3 linked regions of the Sus scrofa genome follow. The protein of the gene in region 2 purifies or fractionates together with the protein of the main gene of each other region. This does not show direct contact. Links are inferred from orthologs where the notes say so. Each region holds a gene or a part of one and is shown on either strand. Other genes may lie near its edges.

Region 1 (4,552 bases), on a different chromosome or scaffold from region 2:
AAATTATTCTCAATGTGTATATTTTCAAATTTGCCTGACAGTGTCCTTTTGAGAAATTTGACAATTCGTAGAGGACAGACATTTGAATTTCACTTTTATCATTAAAAATATTACACTTACATAACAACAAACAACAATATATAGTAGCTTTTTTACTGAAGCACTCTGCAATTTATATTTAAAGCTTTGCAATAAAACAAAACTCATTGTACTTTTTGTAAGTAAATTACACAACACATAATGTACACTATAATTACATTAAAAATAAATAAAATTAAACATGAAAATTCCGTACCATAACAATGGATTGTTTTACCTGTCATTCCAAATATTAGTTTAAATATTTGTTTTGAGTTCTAATGTATTTTAAACCCAAAGCCTTTATCTTTAAATAATATACTAAAAATATTAAGTTTGTAATATAAACATAAAACCCTTTATGCCCTTTTTCCTAGGACATCTAGGAAATAAAATAAATTAGAGGCAAGGATAGTTCTTTCTCTCTTTTTTAAATTTTTGGCCATGTCTGTGGCATGTGGACGTTCCTGGGCCAGGGATCAAACCCATACCATAGCAGCAACCCAAGTTGCTGAGTGAAAAAGCTGGATCCTTAACTTGTTGCGCCACAAGAGAACTTCTGGATGGTTCTTTCTTGTACTATAAAATGCTTCTCGTTTCCCCATATACTTCTATGTCATTTCTAGAGCAAACATTACAACATGATGTCAAATTATAAGCTTTGGCAAATTATAAGCTTATTTAAGTGGTTTCTTATTTGGAAAAAAGAAAAAAAAAATTAAACTAAGAAGTTCCTTTTTTGGCTTATTCATTCTCAACCTTTTTTCCTCTAATATACAATAGTAGTATAAAAGCACTTCTTGAAATGCTCACTACTTTAAACAACACAAAATGAACTGGATTAATTTACAGAATTAATCAAAAGGGATTACCAGTACAGATACTAGGCTGAGGTCCTAGAATTTGTTACACGTAGGGCTAAACTTGCAAGAGATCGCATGGCAAAGGTAGAAACTTTGTGACATATCCCAGCTTTTGAAATATAGTTAGAAGCCAATCGAAAAAGCCTTTCAGCACCAAAGGTATTGAAATGCCCAGGAAGCACCTTCTCTACCAGACCTCGGTCCACTAATTCTATCAGACGTTCACAGGTTCCAATATAGTCACTTATCCGGCTGTAGGGGAGCCAATCAATCAGTGATCCATCGTAGACGACATCTCCACTGAAGAGAATCTTTCGGTCTTTGTCATGTAAGCAAATACTGCCCCTGGAATGACCAGGCATGTGCATAACAGTGAGTTGTCTGTCACCAAGGTTAATTACATCCCCTATAAATGGAAACAAAATTTACAGATAAACATGTTATATATTTGCCTTTAATCACTTAAATCATAGTACCCTAAATGGTTTCAAAGATGTTGGGAAGGATGATAGCTAGTGTACATTTAATATACTAATGTACATTGTGTATATACCCAAGGGAGATACGGCTGTATAGTTTCTCAAATTTATTTCACCACAAAACTTCAAAACAAAAATCTTTTCAGAATATCCACTGTACTAGTATCCTAGTGACATAATTCATGAATGGTGTGAATGGTGCTCTAGTGCACAGTATTATATTTTTGCTTTTGGGGGGGGGTCACATTATGGGAATTAAGCCTTAAGGAATCAGTACAAATGATGATGCTCTAGCTACTGCTATTGCTGTAATAAACTGTTCTTCATCTCTGACCAGGAACCTCATGTCCTCTGTCAAAATCCATTAAACTGTGGCAGGCTAACTTGCTAACTTGCAAATAGGGTAAAATCTCAAACTCTTCCCAGATATTTGACAGTAGGGAGGAAACTGAGCTATATTAATACAAAATTGCTCTTTTGCTGGATTTAAAAATTAGTACTAACTTAAGTAAATCATAATAAGTTAAAAGAGTCATACTGTTATCACTAGTGCAAAAATACAAAAACAGAAAAAAAATCAATGAAATATAGCTAAAAATAGCAAAATTAAAATGTATAATGTAATAATCAGAATTTGCTAAACATAAAAAAAGACAAAAAAGGAAAAATAAAGGGATAAACAAGAAATGAGACATAGAAAACAAATAACAAAATGGCAAACCTAAATATAATTATAGCAATAATTACATTAAATATTAAAGGGATAAACATTCTAATCAAAAGCAGAGATTGCCCAACCACCTAGAAAAGCAAGATGTATACACAGTCTACAAAAGAGGAATTACAAAGTTAAAGACAAAAATAGGTTGAAGAGTTATACCATATATTAAATATTAATGATAAGAGATCTAGAGTGGCTATATTATCAGACAAAAATAGATTTTTATATAAGGAATATCACTAAAGAAAAGAGGTACATTTTATGATATACAGTAGGTCAATGCATGAAAAAAAATCTAAAATAAATTTGTGTATGTACCTAAAACAGAGACTAAAAATTCATAAAGTAAAATTGACAAGATTGAAAAAAGAATCAACGGTTCAACAATTATGCCTAGAGATTTAAATATTCTTCTCTGAATAATGCATAATATAAATATATAGAAAATCATTAAGGATACAGACAATCTGAACATTACTATCAACTTGACCTACCTGACATATATAAAATAGTTTACCCTGAAATAACTAAGTATACATACTTTTCAATTGCACATGAAATTTGCCAGGCTATAAGGCTAGGCCATAAAACTCAATAAATGTAAAAGGAATAAAATCATACAAGGTATGTTCGCTGATGGCAACATAATTAAATTAGAAATCAATATTTAAAAAAATAGGAAATATCCAAATAAGTAAACTCACATTTATACACTACTTATGGATCCAAGAAGAAATCATAAGGGAGATCAGAGAATCACTTGAACTAAATGAAAATTGAAACATATCAAAATATATAGACTTTAGCTAAAGCATACTTAGAAGAAAATTTTTTTTTGCTTAAAATGCTTATTTAGGGAGTTCCCTTGTGGCACAGTGAGTTAAGTATCCAGTTGTGTTACTGCAACAGCCTGGGTTGCTGCTGTGGTGTACGTTCAATCCCTGGCCTGGGAACTAGTGCATGCTACATATGTGGCCAAAATGAAAAAGGCTTATTTATAAAGCAGTAAATGTTTAAAATCAACAACTAAAGTTTCTATCTTAAGAAGTCAGTTAAAGAAGAACAAATCAATCACAAAAATAAGTATTAAGGAAAAAAAAATAATGGCCAGAGAAGAAATAAATGAAACAGAGAGCAAACATCAACAGAGAAAATCACGGAAAACAATAAATGGTTCTTTGAAAAAATCAGCAAAATTGATAAACCTTTTGCTAGACAAAGTTAGAGAAAACACAAATTGCAAAAGTCAAGAATAAAAGTGGAGATATTACTATAGACCCTAAAGAAATTAAAGGGAGTATAAAGGCATGTTAGAAATAACTTTAAGCCAAGAAACTTGACAACTTAGTTGAAACAAATTCTTAGAGACAAATGAGCAGAAATGATCAAAGAAATACACTCTAACTAGACCTATATCTAGCAATGAGACTGATCAATAATTAAATCTCCCCACAAAGAAGATCTGGGCTGAAAGATGGCTTCATTGATCGATTCTGTCAATGTTTAAGACAGAGAAAATATCAATCTTATATAAAGAGTTTCAGAATATAGATGAGGAGGGGAAACTTTCCAATTCACTTTCACCCTGATAAAAGCCAGACAATGTAAAAAGAAAACTACAAACAAATACTGCTAATGAATGTAGTAACAAAATCTTAATAATTAAAATATTGGCAAATTAAATACAGCAATTTATAAACAGGATAATGACAAAATGGGGTTTATCACAGCAATGTAAGTTTGGATTGACTTCTGAAAATCTATTAATATATTATGCCATATTAAAAAAATAAAGGAGAAAAGCCATACATTCATTTCAACAGATTGAGAAAAGGTATATGACAAACATCAATCTTTATTTGTAATTTTAAAAACTTTCAGGAAACTAGAAATAGAACTGATAAAGAGCATCTAAGAAAAACCTACACCTAACCTCTCACCAAATAGAAATAGTAAATGCCTTCCTCCTAAGATATAAGATAGGAAGGCAAGGACATCAGTTCTTATCACTTCTATTTAACATTGTACTGAAGATCCTAGCCAGTGCATTAAGCCAAGAAAAAGAGAATAAAGTCACATAGATTTCCAAAGAGGTAAATCTGTCGTTATTCACAGTCAATGTGATCTTTACATGCAGAAAAATTCCAAGAAATATACGAAAAAACTAGAGAATTAAAAACCAGGTTTAGTACTATCACAGGTTACAAGATCAACATAAAAAATCAATTTTATTTTTATATGCTAGCAGTAAATGATCAAAAATGAATTTAAAAAATATTCTATTTACAGTAGCAACAAAAGAATATTTAGATACTTAGGAAAAAACAAAAGATGTTTTGTTATATCTGTACACTGAAAACTATAATAACACTTTCAAGAGAAATTAAAAACCTAAGCAAAAGGAGAAATAA
Region 2 (5,605 bases):
GACTGGGAAGGCTCATCACTGTGCTCCTTGCCTCTCCCCACACAGCCCTATGGGAACAGGGCAGTATGATTAGGCTGGAGAGAGGGTAGAGGGGACAGGCGGCCACGAGGTTTCTTGGGAAGGCACAGGCCAACCCAGATACTGAGAGCAGAGAATGGGCCCACAGTCACTAGGACAGCTCCTGACCCGGCAGGGGGACAGAACTCAAGAGTTGAACACCATTCCAGCACTTTCTATTTCTTAAGCTCAGCATCCTCACAGAATTTAATGAACTGGTGAGCAGGAGTGAATCCACACTGGGACAGCTAGGAGCTGCCTGGATGTGGTTTGTCTTAGCAAAGAGGATATATGGCCATGAGATGAAAACGTTTGAGAATCATGACTTCTGGGCAGAATGATAGGAATTGGACTGATACCTAGTGTCATCGAAGGTATGAAAAAATAGAAGGAAAAAATGTGTTGGTGGGATGAAATGAGCTCATTTAAAAATGAGATTGGTGGGAACCTCAACAGGATGTGCTCAGTAGCCACCAGGCAGAGGCCTGAAGGGAGGGTGGCAGCTCAAGGCTTGGGATCTGGAGTTCATTTCTGCGGAGGGAGAAATAAAACATTCTAGGGAGAGTCCGGAGAAAACAAAAAGCCCACAAAGACTGAATGATCTAAGAACAGAGAAAATAGGAACCCACTGTTCTCAAAGAGGTGAAAATTCTGGTTCGAGAGGTAGGGAGGCTTGAGGACAGGGAAAATATTCTTTGAGGAAGACAAATGAGAGATGGTGTCAAAGGTGACTTCTGAGCTAGAGAAATCTGCTTAACTAGACATTTCACCAAAGAAGACATACCGATGGCCAGCAGGCACATGAAAAATGCTCAACATCACTAATTATTAGAGACATGCAAATCAAAACTACAATGAGGTACCACCTGACACCAGTTAGAGTGGCCATCATTAATAAGTCTACAAATGACAAATGCTGGAGAGGATGTGGAGAAAAGGGAACCCTCCTGCACTGTTGGTGGGAATGTGACTTAGTACAACCACTATGGAAAACAGGACGGAAATACCTCAGAAAACTAAATATAGAACTACCACATGACCCAGCAATCCCACTCTTGGGCATATATCCAGACAAAACTTTCATTGAAAAAGATACATGCACCTGTATGTTCATTGCAGCACTATTCACAAAAGCAGAGACATGGAAACAACCTACATGCCCATGGACAGATGAACAGATTAGGAAGATGTAGTACATATATACAATGGAATACTACTCAGCCATAAAAAAGGACAAAATAATGCCATTTGCAGCACCATGGATGGAACTAGACTTTCATACTGAGTAAAGTCAGAAAGAGAAAGACACACCATATGATGTCACTTATATGTGGAGCCTAAAATATGGCACAAATGATTTATCTACAAAGCAAAAGACCATGGACATGTAGGACAGACTCCTGTTTGCCAGGGGGCAGGGGGAGGGAGTGGGATGGATTGGGAATCTGGGATTAGTAGATGAAAATTCTTGCATTTGTAGTAGATGGGCAATGAGATCCTGCTATATAGCACATAATCACTTGTAATGGAACATGATGGAAGATAATGTGAGAAGAAGAATATATATATATATGTATGTTTGGGTCACTTTGCTGTACAACAGAAATTGACAGAATGCTAAATCAATCATAATAAAAATTAGAAAAAAAGATGAGGAGCAAGAGGAGAAACCCTCCACTTCACAAAAGATTTCTTCTTGGGGAGGGAGGGGAGTATTTGGAGAATGGGTAAATTTGAGCACAAATCGATCAAATCTTTGTGAGATGGAGGAGTTTATCTCTAAGAGATAACTTACATCAGGTAAACGTTTACGTGTAAAGACAACTGAACATACATACACATAATCCTTGCCTTTAAGTCAATTATTGATGAACTACTACAGTGCTGCTGTTTTTTTCCGAACGAGGACAGAACAAGGAGAATCCGATTTAAATTAGAGATGGAGATGTAGGCCCCTCCCAAGAGGACAACGTCTCATCCTGTTAAGAGACACTGGGGGACAATATTCAGATGGGTTATGAAAGATCGATTCCCCTGCGAGCACTAAGAATAGGATCAAAGTAGACAGAGCACAATCTGCCTCTGCTTTGATTACGCTGAGCCCAGGCTTCGTTTCCAGAAGGGACTGTACTGGATTCGACGGCCTTGCGTTGCGGCGCAGCGGGGCCTGGGGGGAGCTGGTGCGGCGGGGGGGGGGACGAAAGGCCAAAAGGATGGGGCCCAGCGAACTGGGAGTGTCGCGTCCCCTTTAAGGGCGGTGGCGGCGGCGGAGGCGGCGGAGGCGCGCGCTCCGAAGGCTTCCTGAGGCCCCGCCCCTTTCCCGTGAGCCCTCGGGGCGTGGTCCGACCGCGGGCGGCTGCGGGTGAGGAGCGGGGCGGGGGGTGGGGGGAGAGTCATGGCTCGGCGCGGCTGGCTGCGGGCGCCGCTCCGCCGCGGCGTCGGCGGCGCCAGCCCCCGGGCCCGTGGGCTCACGCGGCCGCTCTGGTTGCTCCTCGCAGTGGGCGTCTTCGGCTGGGCCGGGGCTTCGGACGGCGCTGGGGGAGCGGCGAGAGCCATGGACGAGGAGATCGTGTCAGAGAAGCAAGCCGAGGAGAGCCACCGGCAGGACAGCGCCAACCTGCTCATCTTCATCCTGCTGCTCACGCTCACCATTCTCACGATATGGCTCTTCAAGCACCGCCGGGCCCGCTTCCTGCACGAAACCGGCCTGGCTATGATTTACGGCAAGTGCCTCAACCCCGTGTCCCCCGCTGGCGCTCCCCCTTTCTCTGCCCGCCGGCTGCCTCACCTCCGCTCCCGGCCCTGCTCGGCCTGCGTTCGGCTCCCCTTCCAAGTCCTTCCATTTTCCCCGTCGCCTCTCCCCCCCCCCCCCGGTTCGTCTTCCTCGCCCCCTTTTTCTGCTACGCCCCTCCTTTCTCAGCCTCACCCCCGTTTTCACCCCCGCGCCCCCCTTTTCTCTGCCAGTCCACACCTTTTTTCCTCCGACCCCACCCCCTTTTTTCTTCCGCACCCCCCTCCGCCCCCCGCCTCTGCCTGAGGATGGAAGGGAGTGGGTGCGGTGTCTCGGATTGGGCTGGGGACTGGGGGAGGGGAAGCCAGCCTAGCGATCCATTTCTCCGGGGGTGTCAGTTTGCTTAAGGGCCGTTGAGGCTGCAGTAGTCTGTCTGCTGCTCTGAATCTGGCGTTCTTCTGAAGCCAGAGTCCACCTTTCCCCATCACCCAGGTCTTGCTTGCTACGCCCTGTCCTTTGGAGGTTGAGAATGCAAAGTAGACTGTTGCCCAAGTAAAAACCTGAACACGAAAGAAGCTGAGGAAGGCTTAGGGCTTTTGAAATGACGTCCTGATTTATTGTACTATGCTTGCAATATCTGATATGGATACAGATGATTGAACCTGATCATTCAGGCCGTGCCCTGGTGAAGAATAGGTGAAGATCTTCCAGCAGCATGTTGTACTATGGCATGAGCAGGACAGTTCAGCCAAAAAGTAAATAGGAACACCATGCATATGCAGTATTATGGGTGACTCGCTGGTGGCATAGGTTATGGACAGATCATTGAGTAAAGGGCTTCAGTTCTTGTGACCTAGTGTGCTTTCTTTTTGATGTTTCTTATTTATCTTTATTTTTTGGTCATGAGGAGAGAAAGGCAAATCAAGCCATGGACTCCGAGGCATTTTGGCCTGTGCTGGGGCTTCATGGGAGGAAAAGATGAATATTGCTGACTGTCTTAATCTAAGATGACCGCGAGGCCATACATGGCTGGAGAGATGAGGGCAAACAATCCTTTCTGGGCAGTGCATGAGTGAAGATTATCTTCATTTGGAACAGGCTTAAAGGGATGAGATTGCTCAGCTTTGTGTCTCAGACTTGCAGATAGGTGGGAGAAGCCTTGGCACAGAAAGACATTTCTCCATGCGCCCCCCCCACCCCCACCCCTTTCCAGTAAATACAGACTTCTGGAATGTGCAGCTCAAGGGTAGCATAGCAGGGGAAAGTTGTTGTGTGCATCAGGAAAATGCATGAACTCCAGCTTATTTTTCATTTGTGGGGTAATGAAATTCTAAGTATGTATGCTTCCTAAGATTCTTAGTTTTTAGATGTATTGGGTGGTTTTCATATTTCATGTTTTTTTGCATTTTCTATACAGCATTCCTTAAGCTAAATTGGCCAGATAAGCTATACATCTCTGTATAACTGTGTGATTTATTTACTGTCCTCCACAAACATTTGCTACTCAGCCTGCTATGTTATGCACAGAAAATGTGAAGAAATATATGATTCCTGCCTTCAAGGAACTTATCCTTCTTCGGTAGACAGGTTATATAAAGAAAATAAAGGCATCTTAAATGCCATTAAATGCCAAGTGATTATTATGGTGTGAAAATAAGGAACTGATCGCAGAAACCTCTTTCCTGTCCAGAGAGATAGTATGATGAAGTGGTTAAAGATATAAGGCTGTAGACCAGAGGTCTGCACATTTTTTCTGTAAAGGGCCAGAGAGTAATTATTGTTGGCTTTTGGATCACATCAATCTATGTGCTGTGAAAATGTGTTGCGTTTTCTTCTTTGTTTGTTTTTTTTTTTCTTTTTACAAACCTTTAAAAAGATAAAAGCCATTCTTAGTTCTTGCGCCCTACAAAAACAGGCCACCACTGTGATTTTCAACCCCTGCTTTAGAGTCAGGCCTGGGTTCCTGTCCCACTGTGCCAGTAGCTCTGTGTGATCTTAGGTAAGTCCCTTACCCTCTTATACTGTCAGCTATAAATTAAGGACAATGATAGTAGCTTTGTTGTGAGGGAGAAATGTTTTAGCTTAGTACTTGACCCCTAAGTAAGTGCTCATTAAATGAGTGCTGTGATACTATTATTATTGCTATAACTGCATTTTCTCAGGTTAGGCTCAGAATAGTTTGTTTAATTGCTTAATCTTTAAGTTTAGAGGCAGACGTCATATTTTTGAAAAATCAAATAGGGTCTTAGAATTGCCCTGAAGCTATTTGCTCTTTGGTAGTTGATATCATTAACCTTCTCTAAGTCTTGGGCTAGGGGAGAAAATTGGGATAACTGATTTGCATTCCCTGGTGTTTCTAAGTTAATGAAAAGTGATGGCGTACCTTAGTGTCAGTATTTTGTGAAGGAAAAACAAGGCTATCTTTTGTGGAATATAAAGTGAAAGAGTGTTATCTGGGAGTCACATCGGGTTGATTTCCCACGACTTGGCATTCTTGAGCCTGTCCCATTTTCTCAATATGGGTGATGGGGGCTGCGGATGCACAGCCTCCTGACTAACTCCCAAGTCCAGTTTGAGAATAGATGGGGTTGGGTCAAAGTATTGTCAATGCTACGGAAACGGACATTTTCTAATTACCACCTGTCATTTATCTTTTCTTACAGCTCTTGTACCATTATTGCTATTATGTTAATATATTATTTTAAGGACTTTATTTTTCAGCTTGACTTCCAGATGAAAATGTCTAGACCTCCAAAATTCAGCCCACTGATGATTGAGTTACCTAAATCCTGGAAAAATGCTACTCAGAATAAGCTT
Region 3 (5,679 bases), on a different chromosome or scaffold from region 2:
AATGACTAAGCTAAGTATAAGCATCTCAGAGTTTCAATAAATCTTCACATAAATGGCAGGTTAATGGCCTATTTAGCTCAGATTTCTTGTTCCTTAAATTTTTAGCTTTTGGCTTCTTCACTGTAAACTTTGAATGGATCGTTCAGAAATTATTTTCTAAAAAGTCAAATGTTATCTGTTACGGGCCACAGAATTTTTATTTTTGCTTTTTAGGGCCACACCCCTAGCATATGGAGGTTCCCAGGCTAGGGGTCTAATCTGAGCTAGAGCTGCCGGCCTACACCACAGCCATGCCAGATCCTTAACCCATTGAGCAAGGCCAGGTATCAAACCTGCAACCTCATGGTTCCTAGTCAGATTTGTTTCTGCTCCGCCAAACAAGAACTCCATGTTGTGTAACAGAAGTTGGAAAGCCTAAAGAAAGATATTAAGAAAACAAAATTGTTACAAAGGACCTCAAATAAATTTGTCTTTTTAAAACCCATAAGTTAAACACAAATACATTCCAGACGATGACAGCATCAAAAGTTTAGAAATACGGCTGCATCTACACATGGAAATTCTCAGGCAAGGGGTCTAATCAGAGTTGCATCTGGGAGGTAGGCCAGAGCCATGGCAACACTGGGTCCCAGCTGCTTCTGCCACCTACCCCCAAGCTACCGGCTACTGCAGGATCCTTAATCCACTCCTTGAGGCCAGTGATAGAAGCCGCATCTTCAGACAGACAACCTAGGAACCTGCTTAGCTACAATGGGAACTCAATGATCTTGATATCTAGCCAATAATCACATCTTGTGCTTGGCACACCATCAATTCCTTTAACTGAGACTCTTTAACAGAGGTATCACAAGTGAAATATTTTATTCTTCCAATAAAACTGAAATAGTGATAATGCCAAAATCAAAGTCAAAATTTACTATCAAACATAAGTAGCGGAGTTCCCGTCCTGGCACAGTGGTTAACTAATCCGACTAGGAACCATGAGATTGCGGGTTTGATCCCTGGCCTTGCTCAGTGGGTTAAGGATCCGGCGTTGCGGTGAGCTGTGGTGTAGGTCGCAGACGTGGCTCAGATCCCGAGTTGCTGTGGCTCTGGCGTAGGCCCGGCAGCTACAGCTCCGATTAGACCCCTAGCCTGGGAACCTCCATATGCCGCGGGAGCAGCCCAAGAAATGGCAAAAAGACAAAAAAAAAAAACCAAAACAAAACATAAGTAGCAAGAGCTACATGATCCAACATCTGTGGGGCAAAGAAGCTTGTGATTCAGTACTATGTTTATCCTGTATTTTTATTTTTAGTGTGTTGGTTAAAAATCATAGGCTCTAAGAGAGACAGACCTGAATCTGAACTCTATTTCCACCATTTACTAGTTAAAGGCAAGTAATCATCTTCAGTTTCTTCCTGAGTTGTTGGGACGGTTAAATGAGATGAATGTAAACCCTTAGAGCACAGCGAGCACAATAAAACAGCATCAGTTCTTTGTTGTTTTGTTCTGCCAAATCTAGGACACGTAGTAAGTTCCGAGGGGCCGGGATCTAACCCCATAACAGCAGTGACAATGCTGTATCCTTAACTCTCTAAGCCATTCAGGGAACTCCAGGAGCAGTTCTTAACAGCAGCTGTTCTTATTAGTTAAACAATTCTTATTTCGAGAAAAAAAACAATGCATTCATTACGTTAATATTTAATATAGGTATATCATATACATACAGTCACGAAATAGTTAAGCCTCCCTGCTTACCGCAATAACTTCTCAGAGCATCTAGAACGCTAGGAAAGGCCTGGCATACTAACCCGATGCCGTTCACACGTGATTTACATAAAATTCAGGGCCCAATTATGTGCAACAGGATGCAGAGCCTCATTGCAGGGGGCAGGCGCTCCTTGGGAGGGAAGTCTTTGGATGGATAACGGGGAATTCCTCCCAGGTCAACCCTGGAGCGGGATCCGCGCTGCAACTGGCCCGCAGGGGCAGCGCAGCGCGTGGTGGGCGGCATCCGTGGCGCGCGGGGGCGGAGCGGCGCCCCTCAGCGGCGGTTGAGCCCCTCCGTGAAGGTGCGCGAGGCGTGCGCCACCCGCCGCCGTCTCCCCCGCCCGCCAGCCGCCGCACGCGCATGCGCAGTTAGCAGTCGCTGCTCCGCGGATGCCTGCGGGATTGGTCTAGGGAGACGCAGGGACCAAGTGGCAGCGATTGGGACATCTGAGCTGCCACTGCCGAAAACAGGCCCGCAAGACAGGTGCGTGGTCATTTGGCTATTTTCCTGCGTCCCTCTGCGCTCGAGCTGGGGTGAGCAGTCGGAGTCCCCAAACCTTCCCTCAAGGCGAGGGTTCCTGCGCCCCACGCCTTTCTTTGGCAACCCGCCGGCGGAACGAGTTGGGCCAGCAAGGGGGTGGGTGTTGAGTTCGGGGACGCCGGTGCAGTCAGTGTGGGGTGGGGGTTGGGCGGGCTCTCCCGGCTTCGGGAGTAGGAAGGCCGGCCCCGGGCGGTGGGATTTGAGGCCGCTTGGGGTCCGTTGGGTTCTCTGGAACTTCTGTGCTCACCTGCTGCGCTGGCGCGGGGAATTCCAGGTGTCCCCCCAAGCCGGAGCTCTTCCTGCGGGTTAAGGGCCCCCAGGGAGCCGTCGGTTATTCCAGCGGTTGCCATTTCGGCCGGTTCCTCGCTCGAGCCCCGGTGCGCGTTCCCGAGGGATGAATGGAGAGGGGGGCTCCCCGGTAGCCTCCCGGCGCTGCTCACTCCGTCGGCTACTTCTCACAGAAAAAGCGAACAGACCCAAAAAAGGCTGCGCCTACGCCCTCCCCACCTCTAAAGGCCAAGGGACCTAACCCTTACAGCGGTGGGGGCCTGTAACTCCGGGCCGCTCTCTTGATGAGCTCCCTGGAGCCATGTGCGCGCCGCTGGGGAGGGAGCGAGAGGCTTGTGTTGAATCCAACGAAGCGCTAATTACTGGAGACTTATTATCGCCGAAAGCCCGTTTACGATCAGATACTTTAGTTGATTTTATTTATAGCACCTGCCCAAGCAATAAGGAGGAGGCGTTTGCTTGGGACTTAAAAGCCCCAAGCCCCTAAGTTCTGAAAGGAGAAAGTGAATTGAATGGTCATGGAAAGAACTCTCAAATTAGAAGAGTTAATTTATGTTGAATTTTTTTGATACATAAAAGCCATCAAAATCCTGGTCTAGCCTTGTGATTTTGCTTGCTTTAAACCTTTTATGTCACTCTGGGTCATTTAATCACTTGAGGTAGCCCTCCTTTGGGTAATCGGCTGATCTCTTTTCAGTTTTGTCTTCACATCTTATTGGTTCTTAAGACCACATTTAGACCTTATTGCGAAATCCTTCGAAGATAGACTGTATTCATTATCTAGTTGATAAAGTTAGTTATTGGGAGGGAATGAGTGTGCTAATGGATCTGTAGAAATGGAGCAGTACTATTGTTTGTTTTCAGAACCTAATAAGTTTTAGTGCTGTTAACGAAAAAGCTAGAAGTATCAACTTTAATGAACCTTTAGATCATCTAGCTTAACCTTTTCCCTTGACAACTTAAAAAAACCACTTGGAACAGTTTTAAACCCTTGCCTTTTAAATAAAAGAACATGAAACTTGGTGCTACAGTGCCATGTTCAGACTACATTCTATCATATTGTAGTTGAGCTATGAAGTTGAAGCTCATTTTGAAGCTTTATTTTGTAGTTCAAACTGTGTGACTACTAAAACTTTTTATTTTTTTGAGATTTAAGAACACATTATTATTTTCGCTTTACACTTTTATGTGATTTCCCCCCCCCAAAAAAAAATTTAGTGATTTTTCAAACACTGCTTTTGAGGCATAGTGTCAGTCAGCCGATAAAACTGAATGGCAGAAAGGCATCTCAGTTATGAGAAATAGCATATAGAGAAGCATGAATGTGTTAATAGATGAGTTTTAAGACTGAAAGAAATTAGTCCTAAAAGGGCAGAATTTATGCTGAGAACTACTGAGAACTCTTGGACACTTTTATAAACAGGTAGTTAAGTAAGACTTTTTAGAAAATTCATGCTGGAGAGAAGGTGGAGGATAGATCTCTTGGCTAGACTGGAAGTGAAGAAGCAAAGTGGGAGTTTACTAATCCTTTTCAGAAATGATGGATTCCTAAATTAGGCTGTGGCATTGGGACAGAAAGAGACATTCAAGAAATACACAAATGCATGTAGTTACCAATGATGTAGGGAGAAAGAGTAGTCTTAAGATAATGGCAGAGTAACTTGGCTGATTTGGTTGACTGGAGGGCAGTTCATGGGAGAAGGGAGTTAAGGAAATAGAGAACTGGTTTGGAAGGAAAGACCAGGTTGAAATTAATGGAGGTTTGGGGACACCCTTCAAGATGGATAGTGATTTGAAACTAAAGAGTAGTTTCTGTGCTGTGGATAAGATTTGGGAGTCTTTAGCTAGCTTTTATAGTTAGAAGTCTGGAGTACAAATAAGGTAGGAAGAAAGCCTGGGGACAGAACCTTGAGGAATAGCAACATTTACAGAAGATTGGAGAAAGAACCCCTGAGGGTGTCAGAGCAAATGAAGAGGACCAAGAGTGGGGAAAGCATCATAGACACCCAGGGAGGAAAGGGCTTCAGAAAGGAGGCAGGGCTTCAGCAAGGTCAAGAGTGAGCACTGAGCTGTAGGGCTGAAAAATGCTGTTGCATTTACCAGCTAAGCCTTGGTTTGTAGGAACTGTTTCTAAGAAGCTAGAATCAAGTACAGGAATAATTATTAATTTTTCATTGATACCATAACAAATAACCACAAGTTTAACAGCTTAATGCAGCATGAATTTATTTTCTCACAGTCCTATAGGTCAGAAGACTGACAGGTCTCACCAAACTAACATCAAGGTGTTGACAGACATCCCTTACTAGAAGCACTGGGAAGATTCTGCTTCCTTGCTTATTCAGGTTGGTAGCAGAATTCAGTTCCTTTTGGTTGTAGGACTGAGGTTCTTGTTTCCTTGTTGACTGTCAGCTGAGGGTTTGTTTTCAGCTTCTGGAGAGCACCCACATTCCTTGGCTCATGGCCCCCTCTCCATCTTCAAGGTCCTCATGGTGGGTGAAGTCCTTCTCACTCTTCATATCTCTTCTGCCCTCTCTCACTGACTTCATTTTCCACTTGTAAGGGAAAAGGAATTATGTTAGGTCTATCTGCATAATCCGGGACACTCTACCAATTTTAGGGTCAGTTAATTAACAATTCCAATTTTGGGATCAGCTGATTAACAACCTTAATTCTATGTAAAAAAAGCCCCCTTTGCTATGTGAAGGAACCCAAATCTTAGGGTGTGGATATCTTTAGGGGGTCATCGTTCTGTCTATGATGGGAAGTTAAAAGTATTCACAGTTAATGGAGATTTTTTTTTTCTAGATGCTTTTGTTAAGGAAAGATGACACCTAGAAATATTTGTTATCTAGCATGTGATAAGCCTTACTGTTTATCCTTAATCTTTGTAACTAAAATGCAAGTATTATCTTAAATAGCTTGAACTTTGTGTGAACACTGTAAAATTTTAGTGTCATAGGAATATAAAGTAATACCATGAAGTTGTTCTTATATTTTTATGTAGCCTTAAGCTGCTTTAAAATCTTTGCTGGAAAGCTTTTAAAGGCCATTGAACCAGCTGGCTAGATATATGTGCATAAAATATAATTTGGTCA

The links.
Region 1: the proteins of SLC9A6 (region 2) and MBLAC2 purify together in Homo sapiens (co-immunoprecipitation; 3 studies listed by BioGRID and IntAct, counting the BioPlex papers as one, with this or other methods). This does not show direct contact. The link is inferred for Sus scrofa from reciprocal best matches to the Homo sapiens genes SLC9A6 and MBLAC2.
Region 3: the proteins of SLC9A6 (region 2) and CLGN purify together in Homo sapiens (co-immunoprecipitation; 3 studies listed by BioGRID and IntAct, with this or other methods). This does not show direct contact. The link is inferred for Sus scrofa from reciprocal best matches to the Homo sapiens genes SLC9A6 and CLGN.

The regions. Positions count from the first base shown.
Region 1 is NC_010444.4:97,634,605-97,639,156, forward strand, and holds part of MBLAC2 (metallo-beta-lactamase domain-containing protein 2), read right to left. Parts: intron 1,348-4,552; coding exon 962-1,347; 3' UTR 1-961. UniProt on the Homo sapiens protein: Acyl-CoA thioesterases are a group of enzymes that catalyze the hydrolysis of acyl-CoAs to the free fatty acid and coenzyme A (CoASH), providing the potential to regulate intracellular levels of acyl-CoAs, free fatty acids and CoASH.
Region 2 is NC_010461.5:111,174,112-111,179,716, forward strand, and holds the start of SLC9A6 (sodium/hydrogen exchanger 6), read left to right. Parts: upstream 1-2,421; 5' UTR 2,422-2,452; coding exon 2,453-2,780; intron 2,781-5,605. UniProt on the Homo sapiens protein: Endosomal Na(+), K(+)/H(+) antiporter. Mediates the electroneutral exchange of endosomal luminal H(+) for a cytosolic Na(+) or K(+).
Region 3 is NC_010450.4:86,619,022-86,624,700, forward strand, and holds the start of CLGN (calmegin), read left to right. Parts: upstream 1-2,098; 5' UTR 2,099-2,236; exon of another isoform or gene 2,237-2,286; intron 2,287-2,540; exon of another isoform or gene 2,541-4,814; intron 4,815-4,820; 5' UTR 4,821-4,926; intron 4,927-5,679. UniProt on the Homo sapiens protein: Functions during spermatogenesis as a chaperone for a range of client proteins that are important for sperm adhesion onto the egg zona pellucida and for subsequent penetration of the zona pellucida.